Rhinolophus ferrumequinum: one gene and its partners. The protein of the gene in region 3 purifies or fractionates together with the protein of the main gene of each other region. This does not show direct contact. Links are inferred from orthologs where the notes say so. Each region holds a gene or a part of one and is shown on either strand. Other genes may lie near its edges.

Evidence for each region.
Region 1: the proteins of BTK (region 3) and BLNK purify together in Homo sapiens (affinity purification with western blotting; 5 studies listed by BioGRID and IntAct, with this or other methods). This does not show direct contact. The link is inferred for Rhinolophus ferrumequinum from reciprocal best matches to the Homo sapiens genes BTK and BLNK.
Region 2: the proteins of BTK (region 3) and ANKRD54 purify together in Homo sapiens (affinity purification with mass spectrometry; 4 studies listed by BioGRID and IntAct, counting the BioPlex papers as one, with this or other methods). This does not show direct contact. The link is inferred for Rhinolophus ferrumequinum from reciprocal best matches to the Homo sapiens genes BTK and ANKRD54.

What each region holds. Positions count from the first base shown.
Region 1 is NC_046299.1:27,240,248-27,251,244, reverse strand, and holds the start of BLNK (B-cell linker protein), read right to left. Parts: upstream 4,589-10,997; 5' UTR 4,371-4,588; coding exon 4,324-4,370; intron 1-4,323. UniProt on the Homo sapiens protein: Functions as a central linker protein, downstream of the B-cell receptor (BCR), bridging the SYK kinase to a multitude of signaling pathways and regulating biological outcomes of B-cell function and development.
Region 2 is NC_046293.1:9,100,040-9,111,185, reverse strand, and holds the start of ANKRD54 (ankyrin repeat domain-containing protein 54), read right to left. Parts: upstream 5,154-11,146; 5' UTR 4,702-5,153; coding exon 4,368-4,701; intron 2,958-4,367; coding exon 2,910-2,957; intron 1-2,909. UniProt on the Homo sapiens protein: Plays an important role in regulating intracellular signaling events associated with erythroid terminal differentiation.
Region 3 is NC_046284.1:53,106,819-53,117,484, reverse strand, and holds the start of BTK (tyrosine-protein kinase BTK), read right to left. Parts: upstream 4,073-10,666; 5' UTR 3,904-4,072; intron 1-3,903. UniProt on the Homo sapiens protein: Non-receptor tyrosine kinase indispensable for B lymphocyte development, differentiation and signaling. Binding of antigen to the B-cell antigen receptor (BCR) triggers signaling that ultimately leads to B-cell activation.

The DNA of each region.
Region 1 (10,997 bases), on a different chromosome or scaffold from region 3:
ACGTTCTGCCGATGTCATCTTACTTATTCTTCACAACAAGCCTCACAACAAGTGAGGAAGGCATCTCTAGTTTTATTTGACTGTTGAGGAAACCGAGGCTTAGACAAATTGAATGAGACCCATAGCTAGTAACTGGCAATTGGAGCCCTGCCCTTTGGGGCTCCAGTTGCATTGTTCTTCTAAATACATCATAGCTATCTTCTGGATAATCTTATCTGGATGCTGTCTAGATGCATTCTCTGACCCCAGTGTCCAAAGTTGGGCAGCTTTCAAAGCAATAAGAAAAGAATTGGAAGATATTTTGCAAACTGGTTGTCTCACATAAGTTGATGATTCAATCAGGAAATATTTCCTGAGAGTCATAAGATAAAATACTAGCCTTAGAGGATGTATAACATATGTCAAGCATTGTCTCCATTCTTAAAGGGTCACACAGCATCAGAGTAGAGAGGGACTTTGGTAATCGTCTGCTCTAAAGTCCTCATTTTGTAGATGGGGGACACAGGGGAAATGAGATCCTATTCAGGATGGTGTGGCAGTAAAGAAAGGGACATATATGGAAGCATCATAAAAGAAAGACTACAGGGTGTGCTTGGTGAGTGGAGGTCCAGAGAGGAGGATGAATCAGACTCTGGGCTGATGATGATACCATGATACCGTTAACAGAAACAGGGAGGACCGGAGAGGGAGCTAGTGGCGGACAGGTGAAAAGAAGGTAAATTTGTTTCTGAGGAATTGAAAAGTCAGCTAACTGGAAATTCCAAGTGAGGATTCCAAGACCTGAGCAGTCGTATCCCAGAATCTGTTAAATAAGATCATAAAATGATTTAGGTTCTACTGCCTTTCTTTCTTTAAATTCTCCACTAGCAGTGAGATTCAGATACCCACGCCAGAGCTCTGTCAGGCTCAACAGTTTTATTAGCCACTTAAATTAAGGCAGAGAAGGGATATTTGTCACGACTACAATCCATGCAAAGCTAAATGCCGCAGGTGTCAGTATCGACAGGTAAAATAGCCAAAATAGCCAGAAAGAAGAACTGAAAACTAACATGAAATTTATCAAGGATCAATGTAAAGTCCTGTGTTTATGTTCAGAAAATCAATTGCACACCTATAGAATTAATAAGAATAACAATATTGATATTGAGAACTACCATTTTTAAATTCAATAATTACTGTTTGCCAGAATCACTATGTGTCAATGCTTCATAGAATGACTGATTTAATCCTTACAACAGCCCGATAAGATCAGGTCCTGTTATTACCTCTTTCTTACCAGCTGAAGAAACTGAGACCAAGGAGATTAAGTAAACTTTCCTAAAATTACACATATGTTAGTTGGACTGAAAAGCATCACTTTAACCAATAAGATAAGGATTGGGGTGACTTGGTTTCACCACACTCAACGAGCCTTTGCATGTATAAAAGTGAGTGTGTTTATAGGTGCTACAAAGAAAAAGACGTGAGCACAGATGAGAGTCAATTGAGAGGTTATTAAAAACATAAAAATATAAAATTTCAAAGTTTCACTCACTTAAAAAGAATATAGTTCATGTGATTCAGGATTGTAAATTTTGAAATATTTACCTAGAAGTGTAAACTTTTTAGGATCCTAGGAATGTTTACTGTGAAAGGATTGAGAAACCAGGTTTTAGCTGGGTTTCTGATGATAATGTTATCTTATAAAATCCAGGGAAAACCATAGTTAAGAATTAACTAAAAGATCTTGAGAGTTTATGGATTCCTTCATGTAGTACTTCAATGGTTAAAAAAAACAAACCAAAAAAAAACACAAGAAAAGAAAAACGAGACTCTGTGCTCACACATTTCTGTGGTCACATGCAATTTAGCCACCTCGCCTTTCTCAATTCTTCCACAGCAGAAACTCTCAGGGCAAATTCTTATCCCCAGCTGCGTCCATCTGGGAACCTTCTTTTTCTCCTTCATTTTGAGAATCCCTTGTTTCCCTCCAATCCTGCCTGTTCTCCTTTCCTTGGTTGATTCTGCTTTTCCTGCACTCCTGGTCACTCCTTCTGCCTCTAGTTTCTTTTCAGCCCTGGAAATATATTGCCTAGATCAGGGTCATCCCTTTTAGACTCCCTTGATGGACACTTACTATCTCTCTATTTTTGTGGCTAAGAATTTAAGCAAATTCTCACATAAACTTTGATAAACCTAAGCGTATAAACACAGCTCTTCATTTATATTGTCATCTGGTGCCAAATAATTGCAGTTAGGCAACCTTTTGTATTGGTGTTACTAGTCAGGACAGGATATAAACCACAGGGATCAAGTATTTTATTTATCTATTTCTCACTATCCCATCTAATTACAGAAAAGATTTAAGATGGTGCTTCAAGTCCATTGTGTTTACAATTTCATTTCTTTGAAAATGTCCACGCTGACAGTGTACATTTTACCAAAACAGGCCAATTCTGAACAGACAACTGAATAACCAAGTGGAAAAAAAAGTTATTTCTGCCTAAACAGATGAGTGGAGTGTATGATTATCCACAATATAATTTTGGTTTTCTACCCTGTAATCCATGGTTGTATATTGTCTATCAACTGTTACATGATCAAGCTGGACTTTGTCCGAAAGGGAGGGATCATAAAGTGATTTAGGTTCTATTGCCTTTTTTCAAATTCTCATCTAGAGTTTCTGAAAGAGGTTGTAAGCCTTAGGATAGCTCCAGGTTATGGAACATATCTTTCAAAACCCTCTTGCTCATAGGAGAGAAGCCCTGATATCTATTCCTTAGTAGTTTCTTTGGCATGTCTTTCCTGCCTCTCTGTCCTTTCCCCTCTCACTGCTGTGCCCCAAGTCCAGACCTGCAACACTAGATGCTTGGGTTACTTAACTGTCCCCCTCCTACTGGGTTTCCTTGCTTCCAGTCTCCATCCCCCTTCAGCCCACCCTGCCAACCTCCCATAAGCGTGTTGGCAGGACATCTCTAACAGTGTAAACCATTTTCCAGCTCTCTGTGGTGAGAGCCCTCCCTGTCCTCTGTAATTGGGCGCTACCCTACGCATCCAACCTTGTCAGGACCGCCTGGTCCCACATGCCCTACTCTCCGGTCTCCGTTGGATAGGAAACTCTCTTCCTCATCCCTCACATGGACCGTCTAAATGTCAGCTCCAAGTGTCAGCTTTGCATTTCCTCCCTCCTAGCACATAATACTTCCCTTCCACTTCTACACCTCCTTTCATGCCCCCAGCCTCCCAAATCCTAAAGCTCTTGAAGCATCTTCTCCTTGAAACCTCCAGCTCCTCCAATTCCTAGCTTACACTCATTTAGTCACTTACTACTTGTCTGGTTTTACCTAACCCCCTCCTAGGAGGTGCAGCAACTTGAGACCAAGGGCAAGACTGCGATACCTTCTTGTCCTTGCCTGTGCAGACCACACAGCAGCAGCCAAGAGCGTGCCCTCAAAATGGCTGACTGTGTCCTGTGCTCGTGCCGATTCCAGGGCAGCAGTTCATGTCACCATTTACCGAGCACCTACCAGGTGTTAAGACCCATAGTCTCACTGTGAAGGGCTGCGTCTCTGCCAATTCCAGACTACTTGCTCTTAAATTTTGTCTCAAAAGCTCGAATTCTCTGGCTCCTAATATCTGTGGTAACTTGCCACATGTGACACGTCACCCCATGAAAAACTGAAGCTCAAGCAGTAGTTGAAATACAAACCAGTCATTGAACATTAAAAAATTCCAGTTTCCAAAAACCATGAAACACAAAGAAGAATTTCAAAATCAAAATTTTGGAACTCTTCGTTTCTATAGATCAAAGAAGTTTCTTGATTCTTGCCCGCCCTGGGGTCATTTCTGGTTTATTCTTTCTAAGTGGATTTTTATAGATAATTGTTACACTGACATGAAGACATGGGAAAAAACAGATCTAATCTCCCCCAAAACACTTGATATATACCCACAAAATAAATAAGAGACAGTAAAACTATAATGAATACACCTGATTATAACAATCTTTCACATTACAAAGCAATCCACAATGAAATGGTTGAGGACTCAGCTTAGGCAAACCCTTCCTTAAAAAAGGTGGTTGTATTCAGACTCTGAAAGCTGACCTTTGGCCTCTCTTTTTTATTCTCCCTCCAGAGCTTTACACTTTGTCTCTGGCAAAAGCCTGCTAAAATAAGCCTACTTGTTCCTACATATTTCTTTAAAAATGTCATCTACTTCCCCATAGTAGTTGCCACCCTCTGCCTTAGAACTAGTAAAGCATTCCAGGATTTCAGTATTTCTGAGATGCAGTAAGATCACTGGAAAAAGCGAAGAAGAAGTATTGGATGGGGACAATCTTACCTCAACTTCTGACTGGCAGGAACAGTTAATTTATTAAGCTTGTCCATTCTTTTTGGTAATAATGAGCCACAGATAACCGTCCAGTGGTAACGTCAGCAGTCCCTGGCCCTGCTAGGGGGTAGCATGGTAAGCCTTTGATCTCAAGGATCCCCAATCACTGGAGTCTGATCTCCGAGAGTGCAGGCTGCTGGCAAACACCCTGGCACCAGGGAGAAGTAAAACTTGCTCGAGCACATAGTCAAGTTTCATGTTTCTACATAATCATGTGACCCGGGTAGCCAGCCAGCTTGGCTGATTACTCCACATTGTGTAAACTCTAATAGTGAAACCTATTGGACATGCAAATTTCTTTCCAGCTGCTTTCTTTTATAACCAGATTTTTAACCAGGTCAGGGCAAGCTCTGACTGGTCACTACTTCCTGTTGTCTCAAACACATATAGTTGTGTTTTCAGCAGGTGTCATGCTGTCCCCAGCAGCTTCCTGGGCTCAAGGAAAAGCAGAATAGTCATTTCCATCAGAAGGTTTCTTTGCAACTTTATGCTCATTTGCGTCACGTCATGGATAAACTTTTCCACTTGAAGAACCATGATATGAAACTGGCATTTTTATATTGTTCTGTTCATCCCTTCCACCCCCCACCCAAATGTTTTTAAATAAATATCAGGTGGCAGTGACACAGCAGTAATAGTCTACTCAGAGAATTAGTTTTCTTTTCCTGACAATCTATCTAAAATGGGATGGACAGTTCTCTAGGCAAGGTAGAGACAGATGAGTGATCTGAAAAAGAGGAGACGATCTGTATCATAAGACGTGTGTTATGTGTAATCCTTGTCAGGTCAGTGGACTCAGGAGTTGTGCTGAGAGCCAGATGTTTGCAAACAAAACCAGGAGGTACCCAAAAGTCAGCTGAGAACAAATCTGACAGTCTCCTAACAATGCAATTCTGACATCGGGCCATTTGGAAGTCCCTTGAAAAGCAGGATGCCACGCTCCTCACTGCCTTTGTCCCCACCTGCCCTCTTCCGCTGCTCACTTTCATCTCTTCCCAGACACCGCTACATGCAGACATGGGGGCAGTAAGGGCATCCTAAGTACTGCAGGTCAGGCGAGCAGCAGGGAGGAGGGAAGCACACCTGTAGGGCTGACCCATTCAGAACGGCCCACTTCCCTCCTGGAAGACTTGACTGCTCCCTTGACCTATTCTGAAAATCTCCCATTTGTCTGTCATTTAGAGGTCAGAAGGCAGTTTAGAGTCAGGGAAGAAGGAAATGAGAGGGACCGTTCCTTCTATGCCTGGACACACTTCCCTGTAGCCAGCAGGAATGCCTGTTCACCTTTGTGAAATTGGGGTACTCTTCTACGTTATTCCAGGTGACCAGTCCTGTCCAGAGTCTGAAGAATATATAGAAAGGACAAAGTGGAGGGCTCCCAGGTACCTCTCCTGTTACAGACCCAAAGTCTGGCTGAACATACAAGGGGAAGAGGGAGAAGAGCTAAAGGAAGAGGAGGAGAAAGAGGCGGAGGAGAAGGAGAAGGGAGGAGAGAGGCAGCAGCAGCAACGGCAGAGGTGGAAGCAGTAAATGGATTTCATCCCTCCTGTGTCGCTCCTTTGTACAAACAGAGGTTCTGTACTTCTCCAGGTAAATCTTGACTGTTCACATTCATGTACTGCCTCTGAATTTCTAGCTCGACCAGACGTTCAGGAGCAGAATCCTCAGAGCTACTGAGGGGTGGCCAGGCCAATAAGAGAGCAGATAATTTTCATGAGAAAAATGCAAGTGCTTGCCTCCTCCAATCATTTATTTCCCCCAAGCAAGCAGCTCACTTTTCTTGCATTGTACCCCGAAGGAACTCTACACCTCGGCCCATCCCCTTCCCATAATTTTTAACTGAAACTAGTAGTCCAGGATGATGAAGGCACATAGAATGTCATCAAAAATCAGGACAATCAGGCTTCACTGGGATGGAATGATGATAATCAGCTCATTCCTTCTGAATTATTGTAAAGTACACCCCCTCGGCCACTTGACTTTTCTCTCCACCAACAACTCGGCTCAGCACCTGTGCTGGCAACTTCTTATTCCCCAGAGAAACAGATCAGGGGCAAGAGTCACACTTCTGCTTTTTCTTTTTACAGCCACTTGTATTTCTTCTTTTTACTGTATTTAGTCTGACATGATAAAAATGAGAGTCTGCTTGTCCAGACTGGACATTTTGCCCCATGTGGTCTGTAGCATGACAACCATAATGTTCCATGCTGCCACAACTGCGCTACAGGTGTAAGTAGGTTCCCAAGGTCAGTGCAAACAGGACATCAAGTCTTAACTGATACTTGTAAAAGGCCTGAGACCACATAACATGGTTTCTGTAGCACATGGAGAAAAATGTACCACGATAAACAACTCAGTCTCGATCTGCACAGTACAGTGGGCGTAATTAATCATTAGATTAACAGATGAAAAATGGATAATCCCAACCTTAGAGAAAATTGAGAACTCCTGTACACTGCTGATAAAAATAAAGTAGGTGCAATGACACACATACCTGCGATCCACATGGGTCATAAAGGTAACAGAGCACGAAGAATATACCGTGTACACCAAGTTCATGTACAAGAATTGTCACTAAAGCACCATTTCTAATAGGAAATAAAACAGCATTGGAATAACCCAATTTCCCGTCAACAGGAGAATGAATAAATTAGTTGTGGCATATTCATGCAATGGAGTATTATTCAACAGTGAAAATGAATGAACTACAATTGCATCGGGATGGATAAATAACACACATAATTTCAGCAATGAAGGCAAGACCATATAGCATGATTCCAGTTATATTAAGGCAAAATTAACTGATATATTATTTAGGACACATACATATATGGTCAACCCAAGGGAGGAAATGGTAAGTGTAAAATTCAAGAGAATGGCTATCGGCGTGGGATTGGAGTAGAGAGGCACATAGGGTTTCAAAGGCAATGGTTGTGTCCTATTTCTTAAGTGGTGAATATATAGGTACCTACTGTAGATATTAAATATTTAACAAAAACAAATAAAAGAAGACCTGGTCTAGAATTATGGTGCAAAGGCAAGACAGCCTGCCTAAGTCTCAGTTAGTTCTGTGAGATGATGAGGAGTGAGAACGAGAAGACAGATTATACTGGAGCTTGGGGATGAAACCCAACCCGCCCTGATTTCTCTTGGGCTCTTTTCCTTGCATCTATTGATGACAACAAACAACAACATGCTTATTGAATGCTTTCCATGTCCGTGTACTATGATGACATTTTACATGTGTGAAGACACTGATTCATAAAGAGGTTAAGTAACTGGCCCAAAGTTAGGCTACTCAACAATGGAAGAGCTGGGATTCAACCCCAAGCCTGTTTTCCTAGTGTGTGCTGCTAGTCACTGGGCTTTACCATTTGCAAGGGAGATCTGTGAGTTAGCAGAGGGCCCTGTCCTGGCATCAAGGCGCCGACCTAATCATAACCTTGGGGGAATCACTTAGTCTCCCTGACATCAATTTCTCACCTTTAGAGGACAGGAAAGGAGATTCAAGGAGGGCTCAGGCTCCTTCTGACTTGGCATCTGGACACTGCCCCATGTGCACAGAAATGGGATTCCACCAGCAGAAACACTCTTACAGTTTCCAGAAGAGAAGCCTCTGATTGCCTATATGAGATTGCGTCACAAAGTGGGGCTAGGTGGTTGTAGCAGTTTACAGAGCCTTAGAAGTAGTCCAAGCCCTCACCAGAACTGGGAAATCAGCCATGGTTTACCCTCTGTGCTCTGCTACCCCCTTGCTGATGGCTTTTCCCTTGCCAGGTCTGGTTTAGGTAAACTGCCAAAGAAAGTAGGCAAAGTGTGGCATCAGTACTATGCAGTATGGTTCTAACCATAACCTACTCCCATGATGGGCAGCCTCACAACAACTCTATGAGGGGGTATTATTATCATTCCCATTTTGGGATGTGAAGCCTGAACCTCAAAAAAGGTGACATAACCTACCTAAGGCCATCCAGCCTTCCTGACCCCTGAGCCAGGGCTCTTAATCCCCACACCGTTCACTCTCTATTCCTCTCGTGATAGCCCTCTTTCTTGGGGGTAGGGGGTTAGGGGTGTGCTGCAGGCACAGTGGCCCTGGCAGCTTTCTGACACATACAGCAGGAGCTTGCTGTTGGGCAGACCCATGCCCGATTAACTGGCCAGTGCCAATTAAGGGCCCAAGTGGAGGAAGGTTTGGGGGGAAGCTAAGGAGCCTGGGTAAGCCAGTGGAAAAAACAGCAGAAGAGGCCAGGGAAAGGCAGAGAAAGAAAAGGAAGTACGGCGGATGCGGGTAGCGGTCTGTTTGTTCTCCACCTTTGTGGGGAGATTAGGGGCAGGAAAGGAGAAAGAAGGAAGAAGAGAACACATCTGTGATGAGCAAATGGGCAAAGGCTCTTTAAAGCCCAAGGCTTCACTTTCTGTGAGACAAATCAGTTCCCTATTTTATCTAGTCAGTAAAGTCAATATTCTATATGTCAAATTGGCCTGGAGTGCAACATCTGTATTATTAGGAGAATAGCTTAGAAGAAAACAGCCTTTACTCAGAGTGTCAGTCCAAGACCGTGGCCTGCAAGAACATTACAATAGCCTATTGTTGGGACAGACAACTCCTGGTCTGTGTGTGATGTTCACCTCCTCCCTTCTCTTCAGCCCTCAGAGCCAACTACCAACAAGATTCTCCTTTGTAGTATTTCCACCTTCACCTCGCTCTTACTCCAGCCTCAGCCCTCACCTGGATCACTGCTCAGCCTCCTGCTGCTTTTCTGTAGTTAGATCCACCTCCATTCTCATTCTCAGGCCATATTCTCAGCTACTGTGTCTTCTTAAGGATTTCAGAGGCTTTTCCTTTCTTCTAGAACCAAGTATGACTGTCACTCATGCTGTTCTGTAACTGAGTCTCACCCTGAGGATCCGTCTTATTCCTCACTAATTCCCACCATCCCTTTGGTCAGCCTGGTTCTCAAACACCCTTTTCTCCTCATTAGTCACACAGCCCAGCCACCAGACAGATACAGCCATCCAGAAAGAGGGTGGGAGGTAGATGCATGGGGTCCTAGACAATCAGCAGGCTGAGTTGTCCCCAATAATCAGGGCCACGATGAAGCCAGAGAGCATGCAAGAGCAGAAAGGCAGAGCTCTCTGACCAAGGAACGGGAGTGTCAGAGATGTGGAGAACTGAGAGAAGGCTCATGGCTTCCAGGGGTGGAGGTCATGCAGGCCAGAAGTCCTCAATTACAGATGCCGTGGAAGTTAATTATAATTTCCTGTCACCGTTTATCTGGTGGAGTTGACTAGTCTCCTAGTCTTCCTACCCAGGCAGTCCATCCAAATTCAAAAGGCCCCCAAACGAAAACAGACTTGAGCAAACGGGTAGCTATTTCATGTTCTTGGATCAATATCACGACGATGTCCAATATAAGGTGAAAGTTGAATGTGATGCCAAATTAAAATAGCAAACAGACCTTCCCCTCCTCCCATGACAGAGACAAGTCGATTCTAAAGCTCCTCTCTAGAAAGAAATAAGGAACTCCTGAAAAGAGTGGAAAGAGATTTGCCCTCTCAAGGTTAAAGCACCCTATGAAGCTTCTCTAATAAAAACAGCGTGGTATTTCTGACAGACCAATGGAACTAAAGAGAAAGTGCAGAAAGAAATGGAAGAAAACAAGGATTAAATGTTATGGATGTACCATACCTGATGAGGGAAAGATGAACTTTTCAATCGCAGGGCAATTGCAAAGCCCCTGGGAAAAAGATAAAAGTTAGATTCATACCTCAAACCATTAACCAGAAAACGCTCAATGGATCAGAGATCTAAATGTAAAAATGAAGCCGTCCCTGTACCAGAAGAAAACACAATTAATTTCTTCATAACCTTATTTATGACTTAAAATCCAGACGTAATCAAAGAAAATATTGACAAATTTAACTAGAAAAACATAAAGAACTTTTTCATGGCAAAAAATGTAAACAACATCAAAAGACAAAGGACAAATTGAGAGTAAAGGGTTGCATCATATATCACAGATAAAAGGCTAATCTCCCTAGTAGATAAAGAGCTCCAAAAATTAAGATGGGAAAAACAAAAACCTAAATAAAAAGTGGGTAAAAAACAAGACCATGAAAGACAAGAGGACTTTACATGGATGAAAAGATGCTCAACCACCCTCCTATTAAGGGAAAGATTATAACTATGCCGAAAAACATATATATCTCACATACCGAATTAGCAAAAATCTAAAATTCTGATGATAGGGTGTGCTTAGAAAATAGGCACCCTTTGATTACAACATGTTACATTCTTCATGGGGGTGGGGGGGATTATCAATACCTAACAAAATACAAGAATTTACCTTGTAACCCAGCAATCTCACTTCTAGGACCCTATCCTAAAGATACACTTTCACATAACACACACATGTGACATCTGCACACAGTTATTTATTGCAGTTTTACTTGCAATCATAAAAGATTGTAAAAACCTCCATGCCTATCATTGGGGGACTGGTTGAATAAATTTTGATCCATCCTTGTAGCAGAGTTCTATGCAGGCATAAAAAAGTCGTGATCTCCAGGATATGTTAAGTGGAATAGACATGGTCAGGACAGTATAAGCTATTTTTTTAAAA
Region 2 (11,146 bases), on a different chromosome or scaffold from region 3:
TTAACATGCTATGCTGTTTTAGAGTGATTGCTGCTGTACAGTCAGCACCAGCCAGGAATCAGGTACCTGACTGCTAAGCCCCTCGGCCACCCAGCAAGGTATCACGTCCATTTTACAGACAGCAGACTCTAGCTCAGAGAGATCATGTGGAGTGCCCAAGCCACGCTCACCCAGCTAAGACGAGGCCAAACCGGGGTACAAAGCCAGGCTTCGCTGGCTCCAGAACTTACACCTCTCCAGCTAACCACTTAAGTTCAGTTTTTCAGCAGGGTTTGTCTTGGAAATAGTATCACTTTATATTGTTCTTCTTCAATCATATTATACGTTTTCTGTTTGGTTTATCTTAATGCCTTGGACCAAGATATTACTTGTCCTGCTCAATGCATGTTGCTGACTAACTGAATAAATGAAGGAAGGAAAAGGCTCATGAGAGTAGAGGAGAAATAAGTGTCAGGCCGTCTCAGTGTTCATTGGTGCAGTCACCAAAAGATAGCTAGGATCAAAGAGATAGGCTAAAATAGCCAGTTCTACTTTCTGATTTGTGTAGTTATAGTCTTTCTGGAAAGCACTTTAGCAACAGCTATCAGAAGCCATCAAAATATGCATACCCTTGGGATAATCCATACCTGGGAAATTATCTTAAAAATGAAAAACCAACATGCAAATATATGACCAACTAAATCATTCTTGCTTTGTCCTGTTGAAGGTATAGGTTGCATCCGTTAAAAATTGTGGTTATAATTGAGGAATGGAATTATAAAGTGTTTTTTGCTTTTTACTTTATAAGCTTTAGAAAAAAAATCATACAGTCATGTATACATTCTGTAAATAGGAAAAAAACTGACAGTGCCATTTTGAAAAAATGGTTATAAAGACTATAAAAATGTTTATGACACAAAACATTCTGCAGGCTACAAAACTGTGTATACGGCAGTTTGCAAGCCCATAAAGAAAATTCCTCTGCATAAGAAAAAGGACTAGAAGAATATTCACCAAAACTTTAACAGAGATTTGTTCCTTTGCTGACATTATAGATGTTTCTCTTGTATATTTCTCTAATATCCAAAACATTTAAAATGCATACATTATTTCCATATTTAAAATATTTTATTTTTTTATTAGTTTCAGGTCATATTTAAAATATTTTAAATGATTTATGAATTCATAGAAAAGCACTTGTAATTTAACAATAGCAGGGTATAAAGTTTATGTCCACAGTAATTGCTAAAATATACAAAAAAAACAATAAGCATGCAGAAAAAGAAAACAAAATACTAAACATGAAAGGAGTGAAGAGGCTAATCTTACAGCCAGTTTCACCATCACCGTCCTGCAAGAGCCTAATAAATCTAAGAGCCATTTATATTTGAAGATGGGTGTGTTAGAGGCTCTGAATAGAAAATTACAGCCTTTCTATCAAAATAATAAAACTACCATGTGAACACCTCATTCAAGATGAATTAGACCTTTGGTGAAAGGGAAGTATAATTAAAATATTCTCTGGTCACACACTAGTAGTAAAAAGAGAACACTTACCTGTTTTCCTTAAAAAAACTATCTAGGTTACTGCCCAAATATTCCAAAGTGTTAAAGTTCACAGGAAAGAGACCAAAGTAAAGAGAGCTGAAAAGCCCCCCAGTTTCCAGGACTGCTCACTATGCTAATCCAGGATTAAGGGAACCACTTCAGGGCCCATGGTGTGACACCCCAGCTCCTAAGGTAAACAATCTCCTCTCCACGCCTGCTCTCCTATCACATGGCTCTCAATCTATACTCACATTTTATCTGTCAACCGGAGGGTCCCACCACCAAAACAGAATGACGTCCACTTGAGGTAGGCAGAATAACTGCCCCCAACGATGCCACGCCCTAAACCCCAGAATTTATGGCTATTTATGTTTTGGGCCTTACATGCCCAAAACGGACTTTGCAGATGTGATTAAGGTTAGGGACCTTGAACTAGGAAGATTATCCTGGATGATTCAGGCCCAATTTAATCACACCAGTCCTTAAAAATCAGAGAATCTTTTCCTGCGGTGAGATCCAGGGAGATGGCAGTGTGACAACTCAGTTCACTATTGTACTTTGCAGCTGGAGAGAGACGACAAGTTAAGGAATATGGGTGGCCTCCGGAAGCTGGAAAAGGTAGGGAAAACAGATTCTGCCCTTGAGCCTCTGGAGAGAAATACGGCCCTGCGGACACCTTCATTTCAGCCCGGTGCAACTTGTGTTGGACTTCGGGCCTACAGAACTGCATAATAATAAATTTGTGTTGTTTGTGGTTAATTGTTACAGCAGCCATAGAAAATGAATATCCCTCTTTTCCCTGATTCACAGAAAGAATTAAGTCAGTGGATAAACTTAAAACTGTTTTCCTGTAACTTGTCCTTGTCCTTTGATCCTGCTACTGCCCTGTCTCCTAGTGAACACTGGAGGGAGAAACAAAAACACAGAGTGGTGCCTTTCAGGTGTTCTGCTTAAAAACAAGTTTGAGAACCGGTGACCCAAAAAGCCTCAATGAACAGCTGAAGGTGGCGGCTCTGTGCAGACGGTGGCTCTCCTGGCAGCTAAAATCGACGGTTCATTCCCATTAACCAGAAGTTTCCAAAAGTTCCCACTCTGCTGCTGGGTATCAGGGATACAAAAGCAGACACAGTCTCCACCATCAGGGAACCCACAGGGTGATAAACACCATGACATCAGGAAGTTTGGGGTGACAGGAAACATGGGAAGAAGAGTGAGCACCTAAGCCAGATTTATCGTCTGCAAGATGATTGCAGTTATGCAAAGACTACAGTGAGCCTGGTCCACAGGTTAGCTGAATTCAAGCACTATCTGCCCAGGTATTGGTACCTGGATTTTTCCTTCCCTAACTAGCCCATGGAGCTGGATCCGCTTTGTACACTCACCTGTTTCCACATCGTTAGCATTGGCCGAGTCCCTCAGCCTTTTCAGAGCTGTGAAGAGAGTAGGAGAGTCCCAGTTAAAGAAAAACGACAACAGCCATGATGAAGCAGAAAGCGGATGGTTTCCCAGTTAACCCACCACACAGCCACAATAACATCTAAAGGGAAAGAAAGGTGCCAGGATACAAGTGACACCACCGTGGGAACAAGGAGAAACTTGAAACGTGGCACAGCTAGTGCAAAAGCCACATTCTGTAGCAAATCCTCCAAGGTCTTTGGAGCCAGATATTGGTTCTGTCACTTGTAGCAGCTGGGTGACTTGAGCAAGTTAGTTAACCTTTCTGGCCTCAGGTCCATCATCCCCAAAACAAGGTTGAGCTCTGTTCTGACACCCCCCAGTCGTTGCAAAGACAAAATGAGATGTTTACATGGAAGCTCTCTGTGAACTTACACAGGTAATCTTACATTCTCCAAGACAGGCCAGTCCCAAATGACTTACTTAAATTTGGTAATTCCTAAGCAGAAACATTTTTCTCCTACAATGACACTACCTTCAGTTTAGAAGCTAATAGAAAGCAATGTCTTTGTCATCAGAGAAATGCTCAAAAAGGACAACTCAGATACATAACAGTTCCTTACATTCATAGAGTACTTTATGGTTTATACAGCACTCTTAAATTCTCATTTAATCTTTATAACACTATTAAGATACAGGTGGAATCACAGTAAATTGTAAAAGACAATCCAGTCGACATACCAGAGTAGGAGTTTGAGTCTGGCAGCCCTGGGTTCTAATATAGCACTTTCTAGCTATGTGACTTGGAGCTAGGCAATTTCTCTGAGCCTCAGTTTCCTCTTCCATAAACCAGGAAGTATCTGGATCTCAATGAGTTATTGTGAGGATTAAAAATGATCACATATCACGCAACAGGATTTGGCACACAAAACCAGATTAATAGCTATACATGCATTACCTTCCTTAACTCTCGCAACATCCCAGTAAAGCAGGTATTGTACTAATTTTACGGGTGAGAAAGCGAAGGCTGAAAGGCTGTATAGTTTGCCTAAGGTGGAAATGAGATAGAGGAGTCCAATCCAGGTCTGTGCATTAAAACATATTGGTAGGATTTGGCTGACCTCCCCTCTCAGATAATAAAAGTATTCCCCAGTACTCCATTGTATTATCTACTAAAAAACACCTAGAGTCATGACAAGTTTCTATTCAGGAATTACCAAGTGTGAAAGGCCTAGAGTGACTAGTTCTGAGCAGGAACACTTTACTTTTTTATTTATTTACTTTTTTAACGTTCACGGTCCTTAGCCGCTATAATTATTACTACTGAAAGGAGACTCTGGGCCCTTAGATCCGATGTCGGAGGACTCCAGAATGAGGGGGCTGGGGAGAGATCAGGGGCTGGATTCCTGGCGGGGAGTCCGCCACACCTCCTGCGCGCTCCTCACCGTGCACCTCCTTGCCGGTGGGCCCAAGCCGGCGGTGGGGCCTGGCGGCGCGCCTCAGCCGGGTGGCGGGGATCTTACAGCATAGCTCATCGCGGGGCTCCGAGTCCTGCTGCCACAAGACATGGAGGTAGCGCAGAGGGGACTGGGCCCCGCCGGACGCCCGGCCCGGGAGGCCCGGGAGGTCCGCGCCGCCGCCCAGCGCAGACCCGAAATCGGCGAAGGAGAAGAGGCCCTCGGGGCCAGTCAGCGGCTCCGGCGCCACCGCGCACTCGCCGTCGGAGCTCGAGCGGCCAGAGCGCGGCTCGTTGTCCGCGCCCCCGGCTGCGGCTGCCATGGCAACAACTCTGCGCGGGCCAGACCGCGGAAGCCTCGTTCCCGACCGACCAACCGACCCGCTTCCCTCCACCCTAAGCCTCGCTGTCAGCGGGTGAGCGGGCGGGCCCCAGCCTGCAACCACGGCAACCGAGAGAGGGGCGGGCTCCGGTCGCGAGCGGAAGGGTTCCGAACCAATGAAAACCCTTCCGGCCTAACCACCCCTCCCTCCCGCCAACCGGGTATAGTTCCTGCAATAGAATTGGTTTCCGGCTGCGTGACTGACGGACACAAGAACCAGTCATAAATTTGAAGTGTCCACGGCTCCGCCATACGTCCCTACACCGGAGCCAATTAAACAGCTGAATTTAAGACTCTCCTTTTTTTTTTTCCATTTCCTCCGTCGGTCCATGGGAAAGGTAACGGGCAGATGCTTTAACCAATCACATTAAGATGATCTGCAGCCACTCAAAAAGGAACGTCAAGAAGACAAACTGTAGGGAAAGATAAATATGGATATATTTTAAATCAATGAACGTAAAAAAAAGAACTTTCCACAATTGCATAGTCTAAGTAGGAAAATGATAATACGTTAAAATCTGGGGCTATCACCACTAACCGAGAAGTAATAGCTTCTAAATGCGATAGATCCCTTTATTCAGGGTTCTCTCGGTAACCCCGGAGTTGATCACTGATATACAAAGCATTTTAATTCAACGTAGTTACACCAGAGCGATGCTTCAGTCCGAGAGCCAGTCACTGAGCCAGGTAATTCTCTGTATTAAGTTCTGGACGTAGGATCAGACTTCATTCCCGCTGAGATGTTCACAGTCCTATGGGAGAAGTCAGAGCCGGAAACAGAGAAATATTCCGCAAGCAGATAACGATGAGCTCAGCAACAGTGCAACTGGGTGCACTGTTTTGTAAGAATGTTCACAACCCTGTACCTGAGGAAAGAAGGAATATATAAAATGAAGTCACTTTAACCAAGCTGCTAAAAATTATTAACATTGTGAAGGTTGAGGCTTGAAGAAAGACACTATTCTTGTTCTAACTAGCTTGGTAACAACTTTTTAAACTTTCCAGTCCCGTGTCAATGACTGGTTATACATCTGGACATACACCAGACCTCCAGATAACCCTCTGATTGATTATCCACCACCCACCCACCCCCCCCCCACACACACACACACAAGGACTCACATAACCAGACCACCTGACATCCATCATCCAGACTGCCTGACCTCTGACTGATAACCTTTCTATACCAATCAATCCTAGGACTAAGAATGCATAAATTATAATTCTCAAGAATGTACTTTTTACTCTAAGAACTCTTAACTTTTCTTTCTTCTTTGGAACACTTCTGGGTTTTTGCCTAGCTCTGTTCTAAGTTTGCAAACTCTAAGACCCTTGAAAAAATCATTTATTTCCTGCTAAAGCCTCCAGTCTTTTTTTGAGTTTGTTGGACATACTCCACAAAAACTTCTATAAGGTGGGCAAGGAGGACCATCTCTATTTTACAGATGAGGAGCTGAAACCAGAGAGATAAGGGACTTGTTCATGAAAACTCAGCTCTCTTGGGATGAGGGCTTGTGTTCTTCCCTCTCGTTCAACCCAGTTAAAATGTAATCTTTCTCTGACAGTGAAAAGCACTTTCAGAATTTGTAGTGCTCTCAGAACAGCATTGTGAGGTTTACCTTACCACTGTACTGTATGGAGAAAAATGTTATTTGAACTTCTTTGACCCATAACCTATAAGGACATATGCCAACTCTATTTGTAGTAGAAGGAAACAGAGAAAAGAAATAAAATATTGAACATGTACCATTTGCTGAGTGCTTGATATATACTATACCATGTAGTTCTCTCTCACAAGAGCCTTAGAAGGTAGATATTATTATACCCCCTTTTGCAAATAAAGAAATTGAAGTCCTGAGATGTTACATCTATTGTCCAATGATATAGGGGTAGAAAATTGAAGAACTGGGATTTGAACTCAGAAAAGTCCTCTCTTTCCATCACACTGCTGTCTTCAACGAAGAGCATACTGGAAACCTGGCTACGGAGAGTTTAAGGGACATTTATACCTCACTCCTGCTGAATGTACCCTGAAGTGACTACTATTCATTCCTTCTTTTTTCCCCCGTGTAATAACCTCCAAATTAGTCTTTATCCCTCCAGTCTCTGTAGAATCCAAGGTGCACGTGCTGCCCAAAGGACAATTTTCTTCACATCTCTAGGAACTGCCTGCCCATTGAGCTAAAGAAAAGTCCAAACCCTTTATTCTAGCAGTCAAGAACATTGTCTTCCTCCTACCAGGGGGTCTGGTTTTCAAGAAATCTGGTCTACTAGTATGTTCGCATTGTCACAAATTTTTAATTTGAACAGGCTCCCTAAACATCTAGAGGTGGTTGTTACATATAATTTTTAAACCAACTTTGTGTGTTTCAAGAACCACTTGTTATTTTGAGTTAGAAGAATAGGATGTGGGTTGAATGTGGACCCAGTTAGCCTCAGCCTCAATGTTTTAGACTGGAACTCGGGTCTACGGAGTTGTATTACCCCATAACGCCTGGCCCGGCAACTGGCACCAGCACATTGTAGATATTTGACTAACTGACTGACTGACTGACTGACTGATTGAATGAACAAATGAATGAATGATTAAAGATAGTCTAGCCCAGTGGTTAAGACTATCAACTTTGGAGCCATAAGTATGTGGGGCCATGGTTTTGAGTTAGTGACTTTATCTTTCTGAGCTTCAGTTTCCTCATCTGCAAAATGGAGGTAACAGTAATACCTATATCATGCGGTTATCAAAGGACTAAATGATATGACATAAGTAAAGTACCTAGCACAGAGCTTGGCACAGAAGTAGGCTCAAAACATGGTAGCTATTGTTATTAGTATAAATAAGGGTAGGATGCAGGCTAAGGCCCACGCAAATCCTACACAACAGTGGGCACATTACACTGGCTTGAACTTGACCTAAGGGTACTGTAAGCATTCATACACAGCCATTTATATTTCATCAGTCAGCACATAAAACATGAAACACTTAGTGGGAGACAAAGAAAATATCTATAATGTTTACCTCGTGGGAAAAGCCTGGGAATCCAGGGACCTGGGTTCTAAGTTCTGCCCACGCCAAACTCACCTTGTGATTTGGAGGTAAGTGTTTCCTTTCTTTGGGCCTGTTTTCCCATAAGAAGGTATTATTCTAGGTCAGATAATGACATTGACTCAGACCAGATTCAGTAAGTTGGTTTTCTTTACATTCTTCCCGCATTCTGTTGGCCTTCACAGTATTTTAGAGCAATTTGAACGGATTGCCAACATGTAAATATTGACAGCTTTCACATAAAACTTTCTACTTCCAGATTCTCCTAAAAATGGACAGATATGGCAATACAGGACCAGCTCTCCCACAGGGCAACAGTTGGCTGGAGCTGCATAGCAACTTTTCCCTTGGGATGGGGCATGGTGTTCTGGTGTGTCACGGTCCCCGCCACTATCTGTTACCTACCTAAAGGCAAGTGCCATTTATTGTCATACTTGTCGTATTGTTTTCTTAGGTAGATTTAATAGGAAATTATTATACATCTTGTCTGTATCAAATGTGGAATAATAAAAACGTGTGGAGGGAAATTATCTAGTATCTGAAAATATGACATGTGTTGATTGTGTGACTTTTTAATATCATGCTAGAGAATTTCTAATAAACCCACGTGAGGGACATCTGACTCTGGGGAAATTTAACTTTGACTAACAATCGATTAGGACACAGTGATGTTTTATAATTCTGTAAAGTTAGAGGTTAACTTGTAGGAAACTGATAAGGTGCAATCATTTTTGTATGTCCAATGGAGAAGATAACCAACCCCAACCCCAAAGGTTACTATTTTATTACACTGCAGGGCATGAAAGAAGTTTGGCTTTAACTTAATCATATTTCAGCATTCCTTTGCCCAGTAACTGTTCTCAAATTGTTTTCAAATCAGCTGTCATATTGTTGGTTCTTTCATTAACAATTAAATAAGCTGTGTTTATTGGTATGAGAATTATGTTTTTAATTTCTTAAGGGTATTAATCTTTTGTCATCATGTAAGTTCCACATTTTTTGGTTAGTTATTTGTCATTGACTTATAATATTAAAATCAGATTTATCGAGGTATAAATTACATACAGTAAAATCCCCATTTTAAGTGTACAAGGTTGATGATTTTTGACAAATGTATACACTCATGTAAAAATCACTCCAATCAAGATATAGAATATGACAATTATGTTTTTAACAATTTGAGAATTGTTCTTTTAGGCTATAGAGAGAGGGCCCTGTGTTTTCAGAAAAGTAAGTGAATATTTACTTGTGGGCAAGAACAATAAATAGTCTTCAATGTCTGTGGTGAAAGAAGGGATACAACTTAGCATGCAATCAGGAAAAAGCCTGCCACTTCACTGTTTTGTTTTCTATCTAGTGAACTCCTGTACCAGAAAACCAACCCTTAAGGATGTTTCTAGTCCCGATTTGTAAACTGAGTTACTGCTCTCCTACGGCTCACATATTACTGCAGTAAAGGGGGTGGGGCAGGGGCTTGTGAGAGCATGCTCAGGAGAATGAAATAAACAAGACAGTAAGTGAATTATAAACAAATACAAGGTTCTTGGAAAATGGAGGTTGAAAGGAACCCAGCTGAAGAGCCCAGGCAGACTGTAAAACATAACTAACGATTTTTCTGAGTCAGAGAATTTCCTGTCTCAAATCCCAGGCAAAAGAAGATCAAGAGAATCATGGCAGGTTTTCAGCTGCTCAATTCTCTTAACAACTCTCCCAGGTAAAATTCCACGAGCTTTGGTCCGTCCGCAGATTCATTCCCTTTGAAGTACTGCTTTTCCATTAGCAAGGGAGCCTTGCAAAATCAAACACCCTATGATCGGAAACTTCACAGTCTGTAATGGGGTTCCAGCTGCTTCCATATCAAAGTTGCATTTCTATGCGGACTTAATGTGCTGCCAAGTAATGGAGTGTTTGAATTCAAATGCAATTCTACAAATATGGATTGAGAATTGGAAGCAGGAAGAGTAAGGTAGCTATTACAGTAACAATGACATGATGGAGGCTGGGACAAGAATGATAGAACATGGTGAATAGACAGTCTGGAATATTTGGAAGGTAGAGCCAAAAAAATGCAGATGGTTCAAACATGTGGTGTGAGAGAGTCAAGTCAATGGTGGTTCTGAAGGCTTTGGCCTGAGCATATGAAAGAATGAAGTTGCCCTTATCTAAGATGGGAAAACTGTGGAAGGAACAAGGTTGAGGCAGGAAATCAGAGAAGCTTAGTTTGGGCGTGTTAAGTTTGAGGTGACTATTAAACATCCAGGTAGGTACTCACACGGGCCACTGAGCCCACTTCAGGGGTGGGGTCTGGGGTGGAGATAAATATGTAGGGAGTCAACAACATATGGATAATATTTAAACCTATTGGGCTGGATAAGCCACCTGGGAGTGAAGGTAGAAAAGAGACCAAATCCAGAGAGAAGGGGCAGGCCACCATTTAGTGACTGGAGAGATAAGAAATCAACAGAGGAAAGGGAGAAAGAGTAGCCAGGGAGGAAGTTTCTCTCAGAGTCTTTACTATTCTCTAAGTTAGAGTGCACATTCTGGAAGAGGTAGAAAGTCATAAGTAAACAAATAAAATGTATGTTAGATGGTTATAAACAAGCTGGTCTGAGTTTCAGGTGACTGAAGCTTACATGAAGAATAGACAATTACAAAACCAAAACTAGGTAGGAAAGACAATATTTATTTAGAACAAAGAATTACAACACAAATTACGGAAGAAATTATGCAATTACAAATTTGTAATTTTTAAAAGCTGACAAATAGCATAAACATCACAAAATCCAGGAAAGAAACATATTTGCTAATTTTCTTAAACACCGCCACACTATTTTTTTCTCTTTTAGGCTGAATATGCTTTGATTACCTCTTTATATGACAACAATTTTGTGACATTTTCCATAACAAGAATGGAGAGATAATTTAGTCTTACCTCTAGCATATTAATTAGATCTGAGTTTTTTATTATTGATAATTTAGAAAAACTTCTGACTTAACAATTCCTTTTTAGTAATATCATGGTCATTTTGTGAATTGTTATCAGAGTTGGGAGCAACCTGTATCAAATTTTTGTTCTATAGGAACTGTAAGATTTCAGATGATTTCAAGCTTTCTAGTTCCCTGATTAACCTTACATACTCCTTTCCTTGAGGACACTCACTGACGACAGTGTTTGGTAGGTATACCTTACACACAGAAGGCCAGCAATAACTTAACTATACACGGAAGGGTATCACATAGATATATCCTACTAAACTCAAATGTTCCCAACTGGATTTCCTCTACCTGGATCCCAAATGCCTCTAAACACAAGGGGAAATCGTAAGAAAGCGGGTTTTAAGTG
Region 3 (10,666 bases):
GTGCTTTACTAAGCAATCTGATAGAATTATCAACTGTCTCCAATTGGAGTATAACTGATGGACTAAATTTGGCCTACCAAAAATCTCTTCTCAGCCATAAGAAGCATCTCTCAGGTTCTGATTGAGATTTTGATTGAGAATGCCCTGGCCCTGGAAGCAGAAGAGAAGTCTTCTTTAAAACATCATTACCATAGCAACAAAGAAACTTAATTGTTCTTGTTGAGTTCCAAGAAGCTCTATTCAGGCTCCAGTGAGACATAATTATTTGATGATAATCTTCAGGGTCAGTGCTGCAGGTAAACCAATTTGTGGCGAAGACTTCCAGCCAAAATCACTTTTCTGGCTGCATGCTAACCAGAGAAATTCTCATCTGCTGTAGTCGTTTCCAAGAGATTTGAGGGCTATGGTTCTTTTTCAGTATTTCATATTGTTAACATTTTATATTTTCTTCTGTGGTTCTAGAAACTTCTAGGTCTCTGGGATTCATCATCTCTTCTACCCTGTACTGGAGACAGTAGATTCTGGCCAAGTGATGATGCAAGGAGAGCCAGATAACCAATCCTCAAGTTTACACTCAGCATCAGATTGGTGGTAATACTTTCGGCATTGTCCCTCTGCCCTGAGGGTGACTGCTGGGGTGTATATCTTTCATTCGGGACTTGTGTTCTTCTTTGTCTTTTTTTTCTTTCAGTTTAGTTTTTTGTTTTCTCTGGTTTAAATATTTTTATTTTTTTCCTTTGATATCAAAATAACATGTTCATTGTAGAAAATGTTTTAATTACAGGAATATTAAAAAGAAAACACCAATTATAAGCTCATTATCCAGAGACATTAATATTTGGCCACATTACCTTCTTTTTTTTCTGCGCATTTTTCTTATGTTTAAGATCATATTGCACATAGTACTATTTGTAGTTTGCTTATTTTTCTTTATATTACCTATCCATGCATCTATCGATCCATCCATCCACCCATCTATCCAGCACACTCTTCCCCCCAAATATCTAAAATTTTTATTTAACATTACTTGTGATTATTTCCCCATGATATTAGGATCTCTATATATGCATCATTTACCAAGTCAAAAAGTGTGTGCATTTTGCATTTTGAAACATATTGACAAAGTAGTTTCCAGAAACATTATACCAACTTCACTCTACACAGCCATTTTTGAGAGTCTGCTTTCCCCATACTTTTAACTCTTTCTGCTCCATTTCTAATCAATTTTTTACTGTTTTTATTGCAGATGAATTTGTTTTCTCATTGAGCCAGTGATCTTGAACTCCAATATATTCCAACATCGACCTGGTCTAAAATTTAGCTTCTCTTGACTCTAGAATTTTCTTCTTCTAGGGATGAGCTACAGTGTTTCTCCGAAAATAAGACCTAGCCAGACAATCAGCTCCAATGCATCTTTTGGAGCAAAAATTAATATAAGACCCGGTCTTATTTTACTATTTTACTTTACTTATAGTAAAATAAGACCGGGTCTTATATCATATCATATCATATCATATCATATCATATCATATCATATCATATCATATCATATCATACTGGGTCTTATATTAATTTTTGCTCCAAAAACGCACTAGAGCCGATTGTCCGGCTAAGTCTTATTTTCAGGGAAACACGGTAATAGACTATTGTTCATTTCTTTTTCAGGGAGGCAAGGCAGTGAGATGAGCTTCTCGAGGTCCAAAATTAACCCTAAGGGCATCTGGGTGACGGCTCTCAGAGAGTGAGAAGGAAATTCTGAGATTAAGGCTTTCATGTTTCCAGTGCTCTCTGAACACCCTCAGTCAGTGCACATGAACCTCTACAGAAACTGAAAGTCACATGTGGCCCATTTGTTTCAGGGTCCTCAGAGGAGTTCTCTCTCCCCCTCCCCTGATGGCTTCATTTGCATAACCAAGCAACTTTAGAGTGAATTAGGTCAAGGTCTGTCTCTAGCTTCTTGCTGAGCACTACCACACTGAAAATTCTAGCTCTCCCTGATTCCCAGAAGTTAACAGTTGGATCTTGGCATCACTGGATGAAAAACAGCAGGTATCTGATGACTCTGTGGAGAACACCCAAACTGGTTTTCAAAAGCCGTATCTTCTTATACCTAAGTCACTTCCTGGTATAGGTCTAGTCCACTGAAAGGAAACTCTATAGGAAATTTGCTCTAATGGAAATAGTAAATCAGAGTAATGATATTTTAAAATTGCACCAAGACCCTAGAAGTGGATGGAAAGTTGTGCTAGTTCTCACCACAAGGAGTTTACAAAGGATTCTAAACAAACACAGCACTGACCATAAGCAACAGGAATTTGGACTTTAACACATCAGGTAGTTTAAGTAGTCTGAATATAAAATGGGTCAGAATAGAGCAGATAGGGCTAGCCCTAAGGGATACTATTTCAGTAAAATGCTTTAAGTTCCATGAGTATTTGCATTTTGTGGCTTATTTGGAGGGTGGCATTGTTTTATCAAATAACTGAGGCTCCAGAGAGGCTATAGCACCTTTGGTTCAGAGACTTGGCATGCAAAAGGAGAGAAAGAGCAGAGCTAGCACACAGAGCTGTGAGCTGTGCTAACAGCACAGAGGACAGCCCCTGAGCTGGTAGACCCCTGCCTCTGGGCTTTGCTGCTGCCCTGCCTCTGGAAATGCACAGCATGGGATAGAGACTTGGAGCTTGGAGACCCAGATGGCTGGCAACCTGGACTGGGATTCTATTTGGAGGTCCAGCAACACATCCAAGGATTTCTTGGTCAGAGCCAGAGATCCCTTTTGTTCTAAATCCCACACCATTTGCTCTAGGCAGGCCCTCTGGGGGCACTGGCAGGTCTCAGGCAGAATAAAAATAAGAGCAAACACTGAGATACTAGCACTTACTATTGCCAGGCCCTGTTTTTACCGCTTTACATATATTAACACCCTTATTGCCCCCCAACAATCCTATGGGGAAGGTAGTAGCACTAGGCAAGTAAGGGGAAGGAAAAGCGAAAAGAGCAGGGGAAGAAAGGGGCAAGAAAAATGCAATGCAATTCAACAATTATTTATTAAGTGCTGCCCCTGTTTCAGGGAATGTGGTAATGAACAAAATAAAGGAGGGAATAAAGAAAAAGGGGTACAGGCAGAGAAAGGAGGAGGAGGAGAAGGGGGGATGGAGAGGAGGAAAGGAGAAATGATGAAGACAAGAGAAAAGCCGTGCACATGGCAGGCAGGCAATGGTAATAGGGAAAACCTCAGGGGTTGACCACACAGTCTGGGCTGAGGCTGAAGCTGCTTTCTTCTGCCCCAGTCTCTTACCCACTATTACCACGGAGGCTGGTGCACACAATCCTTCCAACAAGACAGCTCAGATCTCCGTAACACGGGCCTGATGCAGCCTGAGGCAGGTTGCCTAAAGGCTGGTTTAGCAGATACCTTTCCCCGGCTCTCAAAGGTCAACGGCCTATTGCAGTGTGGGAGCTTTCACCATTTTCTCAGACAATCTACCCCTTAGAATTTCTTCTTCCAAGGACCTCAATGACACAAGTACACATTTGGGGTCTTCAAGCAATATTTGAACAAAGCCTTATTTTTATCCTATTGCCACCGACAATATTACTTTTCAGCAAACTTTTTCACAGGCGCCCCTTTCCAACATTTGTTACCTGTTCAGATGTTCACCTCATGTCACTTTTTGCTCTTCCGGTTTCCCCCACAACCGTCCTCAGAAAGAACCCTAACAGCCTGTTCTGATCATCGGTGGGGACTGCCAGGGGACCTTGTGCTGATGATACTCCCAGCCTCAGTCATCCTCCTCCATCAGCCAACTACATGGCAGCAGCCATGCCTTCTCTCTGGCCTTCAGGATTCCCACAAAAGATATTTGCTGCTGCTGCCCAGCCCCTGCCGTGCCGCAGACCCACCTTAGTCCTGACTTAGTGCAGGTAGCTTCCCAGATGCATTGAGATGCCAGGACTTTGAAGGTGGGACTCGATCTCAGAAGACACTGGCCCTGGAGACATATTCTTACAGTCCAGAGAGGAAGGACAGTCTGAGCAAACCCCACCCTTTCACAGCCACTCAGTTCCCTTTTTTCGTTTCCTGACTTAAACCAATGCCTTTTTTTTCTTCTTCTCAGCAGCATGGTATCTGGTTCCCTGCTGCTGTCCCTATTCTAACCACCCCCTCCCAGTTGTCTCCGCCCTTCATTTGCTTGGGACCTCTGACACTACTGTCTTGAGTCCTCTCTGAAAGAACCCTTCTCAACATTACTGGGGCCACTGAAGCTCTAGATGGGGCTGGGTTGAGCACATGGGTCATCAGGCAAACTTCCTCAAGGTAAAGGGACAACATGCTTAAAGGACTGTGGGAATGGTCAGCAGAGGTAGTGGAGACTTACCGGAAGGAGGAGAAATGCAGACCCCACAAAGACAAAACAAAGGGACTAAAGAGGAAGAGAGCCTTTAGAGTCTCATGTCCTCTAAGGCCAAAGAGACTCAGGGTCACACAGTTAAACTTGACACTGAAGGATGGAGAGTGCTTATGAAGGGACCCCAAAGTACGGAGCCTGACAGGAGAGACAAGACTTCCCCCTGCTGAGTCATTTTCAAAGAAAGCATTTTTTCTACAGATAAAAATGTCCAAATGTAAGACCACAAAAAGACTTGTGACCTTCCCTATTTTCTGTGGATGTTGATTTTCTCCATTAAAGATTCTGCTGCAGAGATTAACTCCTAATTTACACTTTTCACATTAATCCTGTAAAGCAATAAACCAGACTAGGTGTGTTACTTAAAGCCTGAATATTTCCTCAGCTATCTCTGCTATGTTCCAGCAGCAGTCTTCTCCCTGAGGATTCTCCTAGGAAATTCAACCAGTACTGGCTGCAGACAGGATGGCAGCAGAGCCCCTGGTGACCGATCTGCTTGCCCACCTTGACACATCAGGCACTGCCATGTTTACTTGCCCCAGGTGCTGTATCCTAATATAGAAACAGATCACAGATCTCACTAGAAGTCCATAAGAATTTTTAAGGCAACAGGACTTTTTAAAAAAAGCATTTGTAGAGTGGTTAATCCTCACATCTGCACAAGATAGACGGGTGGCAAGTGTTGTACGATCTTCCTATTTTATTGATAATTTATATCCTTTCAACTAGTCACCTCTTAACAGCGTCTCCAGTCACCTGCCTGAGAGTTGGTCACAGACATTTGCCTTTATTCCCCTTTTCTTCAGATTCTACTTGTTGTCACATGCCCTATCCCTTCTCAAGGTGCATCTTGGGGTGGAGACGGGGAAATAACGGGCATAAAATGGGGAGGCTGGACAAGGGAGAGCAGGGCAAGGAAAAGGGGAAAGTAAACCTAGGTGCTTTTTCACCTTCTGCCCATGAGTACTCCCTTAACACACTTGGCTAGATGGACAGAAGGACTGCATCCAAATAGTGCAAATAAATGGCCTAGTGTCACCTCAAGAAATTCCCAGTATAATATAAGGTTCTGTGCTTGGTGCTATCTTGTTCAACATTTTTATTAATGACCTTGGAGGAAACTATAGAAAGTAGCCTAGCCAATCAGTGAACGGCACAAGGCTGTTGTGAGCTAGATGGGGATGACAGAACCAGAGCAAACAGTTTCCCAACAGATCTTGATCACCTGGTGTGACAAGCCAAAGTCAACAAAATGTATTTTACCAGGGCTAAGGGTCATGTCCCATAATTGGGCACTGACATTGAACTTCAAATGACTCCAGGTGAAAGTGAGGTAGTAGTAGCATTTGTGGAAATGTTTCAGAGGTTTTTGCTGATAGTAATCAAGAGAAATGTCATGTCAGTAACATGGCAGCCAGAAAATATAAAGTGATATTAGATTTCCTTGCAGAAGTAAAATATCTAGGCATAGGAATGTGAACAGGCCACCTACTCTGCAGGACCAGGCTATATATAGAGTCCTGTGTTCAGTTCTGAGTGGCTCACCCTAGGGGAAATTAATGGGCAGGAGCTTGTCCAAAACAGATACCAGGATTGGTGAAGGGAATCGAAACCAAAGCCATGTCACATGAGATGTCATAGGAAGAACTAAGGTTGATTAGACTAAGAGGGACCATGTTCGCTGTCTTCATATTTCCATGTTACTAACATCTAAAACCTCTAGAAACTCCTCAAAGGCCAGTGTGAGTGACGCTGCCTAAGAGCCCGGAGAGAAGAAAATGCTGTGAGACTACAGGCTAGTTGTTTGGCAAAGAAAACTTTTAAGAAATGTAACAAGTAGTGGTAATGTTTTTATTATCTCATTCCCAGAGACCATCTAACAAAAAGGGGATGATCAGAGAGTCAGCTCAGGACCCATGGGTGCTCCTGGAGGGCTATGCAAGCAGGAGACCACAGGCTCTCATTGTTCCTTGGCCCTTAATTCACTGGCAGCTCCTCCTACACCTCTGCCCAATTCTCTCTCCTCATCCTTCTCCACCCTGCAAATGCCCTTGCTTCCTCGGTGTGATGTTGTGGTTAAGTGCAAGGCTATAGTGTTAGACTACCTGGGATCAAATTCCAGCTCCACAAAATAACCATCTGTGTGACTTTGGGTAAGCAAATTAATGCCTCTTGTGCCTCTGTTTCTCAACCTGTTAAATACTAATAATGGTATACGCTGCCTGGATTGTTAGGATTAAAAGAGGTAGTATATAAGGTGGTTAGGAAAATGCCTGGTATATAATAAGTGTTCAATAATTGTTACCTATTATAGTTAACAGGCCACAATTGTCATGTTGTATAACGGTAAGAGAACCCAGGCTCTGGATTCAGATCACCTGTGTTTGTATATTGGCTCCACTAAATACTGTCAACATTGGGCAAATTTTTAAAATAGCTTGCAGCCTCAATGTCCTCATCTGTAAAATGGGAATAATAGTATCACCTACCTCCTGGAATTACTGTGAGAATTTTATGAGACAATCCATTTTAAGTGCTCAGTACCCTGAAGTCTTTCTCTGCTGGACTCTTTTGAAACCTAGCAATGCCTTCTGCCAGCTGTCAATGAAAAAACATCCAAACATATAGAAAAGTTTTTTTTTTTTTAATTAAAGTTTATTGGGGTGACAATTGTTAGTAAAGTCACATAGATTTCGGGCGTACAATTCCATAATACATCATCTATATCTCACATTATGTGCTCACCACCCAGAGTCAGTTTTCCTTCCTTCATCATATATTTGACGCCCCCAGAAGTTTACCCTCTTCTAGGACCCCCCACCCCTTTATCCTCTGGTAACCACTAAACTATTGTCTATGTCTGTGAGTTCTTGTTTCTTCATTTGTTTGTCTTGTTCTTTTGTTGTTTTCAGTTTTATATACCATATATCAGTAACAGACTTTTTCTGTCTGACTTATTTCGTCTTATAAGAGTTTATTTGAGCCAAAATTTTGAGGACACGCCCGGAAACAAAAATCTCAACAGACTGAGAAAATGCTCTGGAGAACGGCAGTTTTGCATTTCCCTTTTTTTTTTAAAAATTAAAGTTTATTGGGGTGACAATTGTTAGTAAAGTTACATAGATTTCAGGTGTACAATTCTGTGCATTTCCTTTTATGCATTTAGAATCAAAAGGAAAAACGTAAGGGAGGCACATGAAAGCCATTGGTGGTAGTTTAAAGACGCGGGAGAAAGCAAAATGGGGAAATCTCTAGGATTGGATAAAAAGCAAAATGGAGAAACACATACTTCTTTTACATTGGTGGGTACAGGATAGTTAATTAACACTGACAGCACATAGAGGTGGTATGCAGAGAACAAGATAACAACCAAGGATTCTGTGCTCTCATGCTCTGGTGGTGGGTCTTGTGCTCTGGTGTCTGCTGTTGTGCCTTCGAGGAGTCTATAAGAGAAAATTACTCAGACATTTCAGAAGTATGTTATCCTAGATGCATAAGAACGATGGACAAGGCTCACTTAACGTGAAGATTGACCTTTGCTGAGGAAGCTATAGGCCTGGGGCGAGACTACCTACCGTGACCTGCCCAGACCTTTCTGTGTGGTTACTTTTGATCACCGAGTTTGTAAGGAGCTTGTCAGGTTTAGTATTTGGCTCCTTTTTTGTTCATACAGGTATCCAGGGAAGGGAAGCATGGCTGGATACTTCCTGTATCTTGACCTGATTGCAGCAGCTGAACAATTTCATTCTCATTTTTCAGAACCTAGGGCAGCCAACTAGTTCCCTCAACAAAAAGGGGCTGCTTTAATGCTGATCATTGTTCCTTTTTTACAAAGTACTTAGTCTGTAATTATACATTATGAGCATGATTATTTGATTATTGTGCCCAACACAGAATACGCATTCAATATGCATTTGCTGAGTGGACCAACTGGCTATGTGATAGATGGACTAGAGCACTGGCTCCTTCCAAGTCTTCAGTGAACCAGCAGTTCCTGCAAAAGATGTTCCCAGTGTCCTTGAGGTGGAACAGGAATGGAACATGCAGGTGGTGGGCCCCTCCACTTGCCTCTAGTCCTGCCTTCCATCGGGGACGGGGAGAGGGAGGCCAGAGGGTCTGCAAGAGCACTGCTTCCTTCACTTAATGCTGCACTGAATCAGCGTCTGCCAAAAGTGATGAAGCGAGGAAAAGTCGCAAAGCTAGGGGGAGGGAGGAAGTCCCAGAGAATGTGCTAGCCTCGGCAGAGCCCTTCCTTAAGCTCCCGTCCCCAGCTCCGAATCGAGTCCTCTCAGCTGCCAGAGGGCGCTGCGCACAGAGGTTTAGACTCTATGGTTGCTCCCACTGACTCCCATGACATGAAGAAGGGCGACCAGGAACCGCCTACATACTTCCGTTTCCAGCCCGGCCTCTTTCTTTCCGCGCGGATAGCGCTCTCACAAACATGGTAGGTCTTGGGGTGGGAATGCGGTACCATCCAGTTTAATCTCCGCCCCCCGCCCCCAGGTCAACGGTGCCATCCGGGATGGGTCCGGGCCCCTGTGCGGATTCGTTATACCAAAGAAACCCAGTGTTGATGGGATCGACCCCGAAGGGACCGGGCTTCGGGGCCAGGAATTGAAGTGGTTGGATCAAAGAGGTAGACTTAGTGAGTGGTGGTGTGGATATGCTCTCCTAACACTTTAGGGCTCGTCGGACGCAGCTGTACTTGAAGCACATAGGGCTGGACCACCTAGTCTGCGTTGTGTCTTAGCGAGGATTTTGAGAGTCGAGTCCTCGTGGACTGCCTTAGCGTCAGCTGGGTCGGAGTTGTGCCTTTGGCATCTGATAACACCACGTTCTGAACTGTTTATTAGGTGAACGTTCCTAAAACCCGCCGGACTTTCTGTAAGAAGTGTGGCAAGCACCAGCCCCACAAAGTGACACAGTACAAGAAAGGCAAGGATTCTCTGTATGCACAGGGTAAGTCTACGTGATTGGGTTTGAATGTGACATTTGTATAGTACATACGAGCTCAGACGCCCCCATCCCGCCTCTTGGGCATTGATATTTCTGCTGGAAACCTCAAGATAAAACCCCTAAGAAGGATTTTCCACGTGGCTGTTGTGATTTATTATCTTTGGTATATCGTAACAAATAATTTTCATTCTCCCAGGAAAGCGGCGTTATGACAGGAAACAGAGTGGTTATGGTGGGCAGACTAAGCCAATTTTCCGCAAAAAGGTGAGTAGTAATTACTGTTTGATGTGCTTCCCACTGACTGGTAAAGACCTTGCATTTGTTGCTAGCCCACACACCTCTACGATAAAGATACATGTTTTCATAGTTTCAGAGAAGTTATCTTCAGTCACCTGCAGTGACATACCTAGTAGGCAGTGGAGCGGGAAGTACAACCCAGGTCTGACTGTAGTCTACAACACTGCCCCATCACAGTGTTTTATGTTTTTTGTCCTTTCCTTTTTGAAGAGGCAAACATGTCCCCTTCCTTTCTAAGGACTGAAGTTTGAGTATACCAGCAAATCCTTTCCTTTGCCCTGTTCCTATCTCCTCATATCCTAGTGAATCCTCAGCTCTTGCTTGCAGTAAGAATTGTTCTTATTTTGCTTCTCAGCTCAGCCTGCAATCGGTTATCTACCTCATGAAGTCATAAAGCTCTTTAAAATTGCCATTTAGGCCTTCTACTGGTGGCCTGAACTCTTGTCATTCTCTGGCTGAATGTGTTTTTACCCCGGGCTATTTGGCTACTTCTTAAAGTAAGTACACAGTGCCGGGACAGCATTCCCAGGACCATAGAATTTCTTTAGGCACTTTGCTCTTCCGTTAGCCTGGTTCCAGAAGGTACCAAGGAATGACTTTAGTGTTCATTTAGGTGCAATAAATGATTTGATCTCAAAGTGATAAAAGGAATGCTTGCTTGCCTTTTCACATTCAGTTAATCTGTTGAGAAGATGGGAAGCTTCTAGCTAGGTTTTGGATTTTTTGAGAGCTGTAAATTAGCAGCGGTAGAATTCTGACTACAGGAGCAGGCTTAACAAGTTGAGAATTCATGGGGCATCTACCTTGTGTTAAAATAATAATTTGAATACACACAAATTCTAGACGTAATTGTATGTAGTCTCAGAACTGGTAGGTCTTACGTAACAGTTGTTAACCCTATTTAATGAATTGCGAAAGGTGTGTGTATTTCATAGTTGCATAGACTTGGATGACCCATTTTTGGTTGTGGAATACTTAACTATGCAGAGCTGCTGAAGGCCACA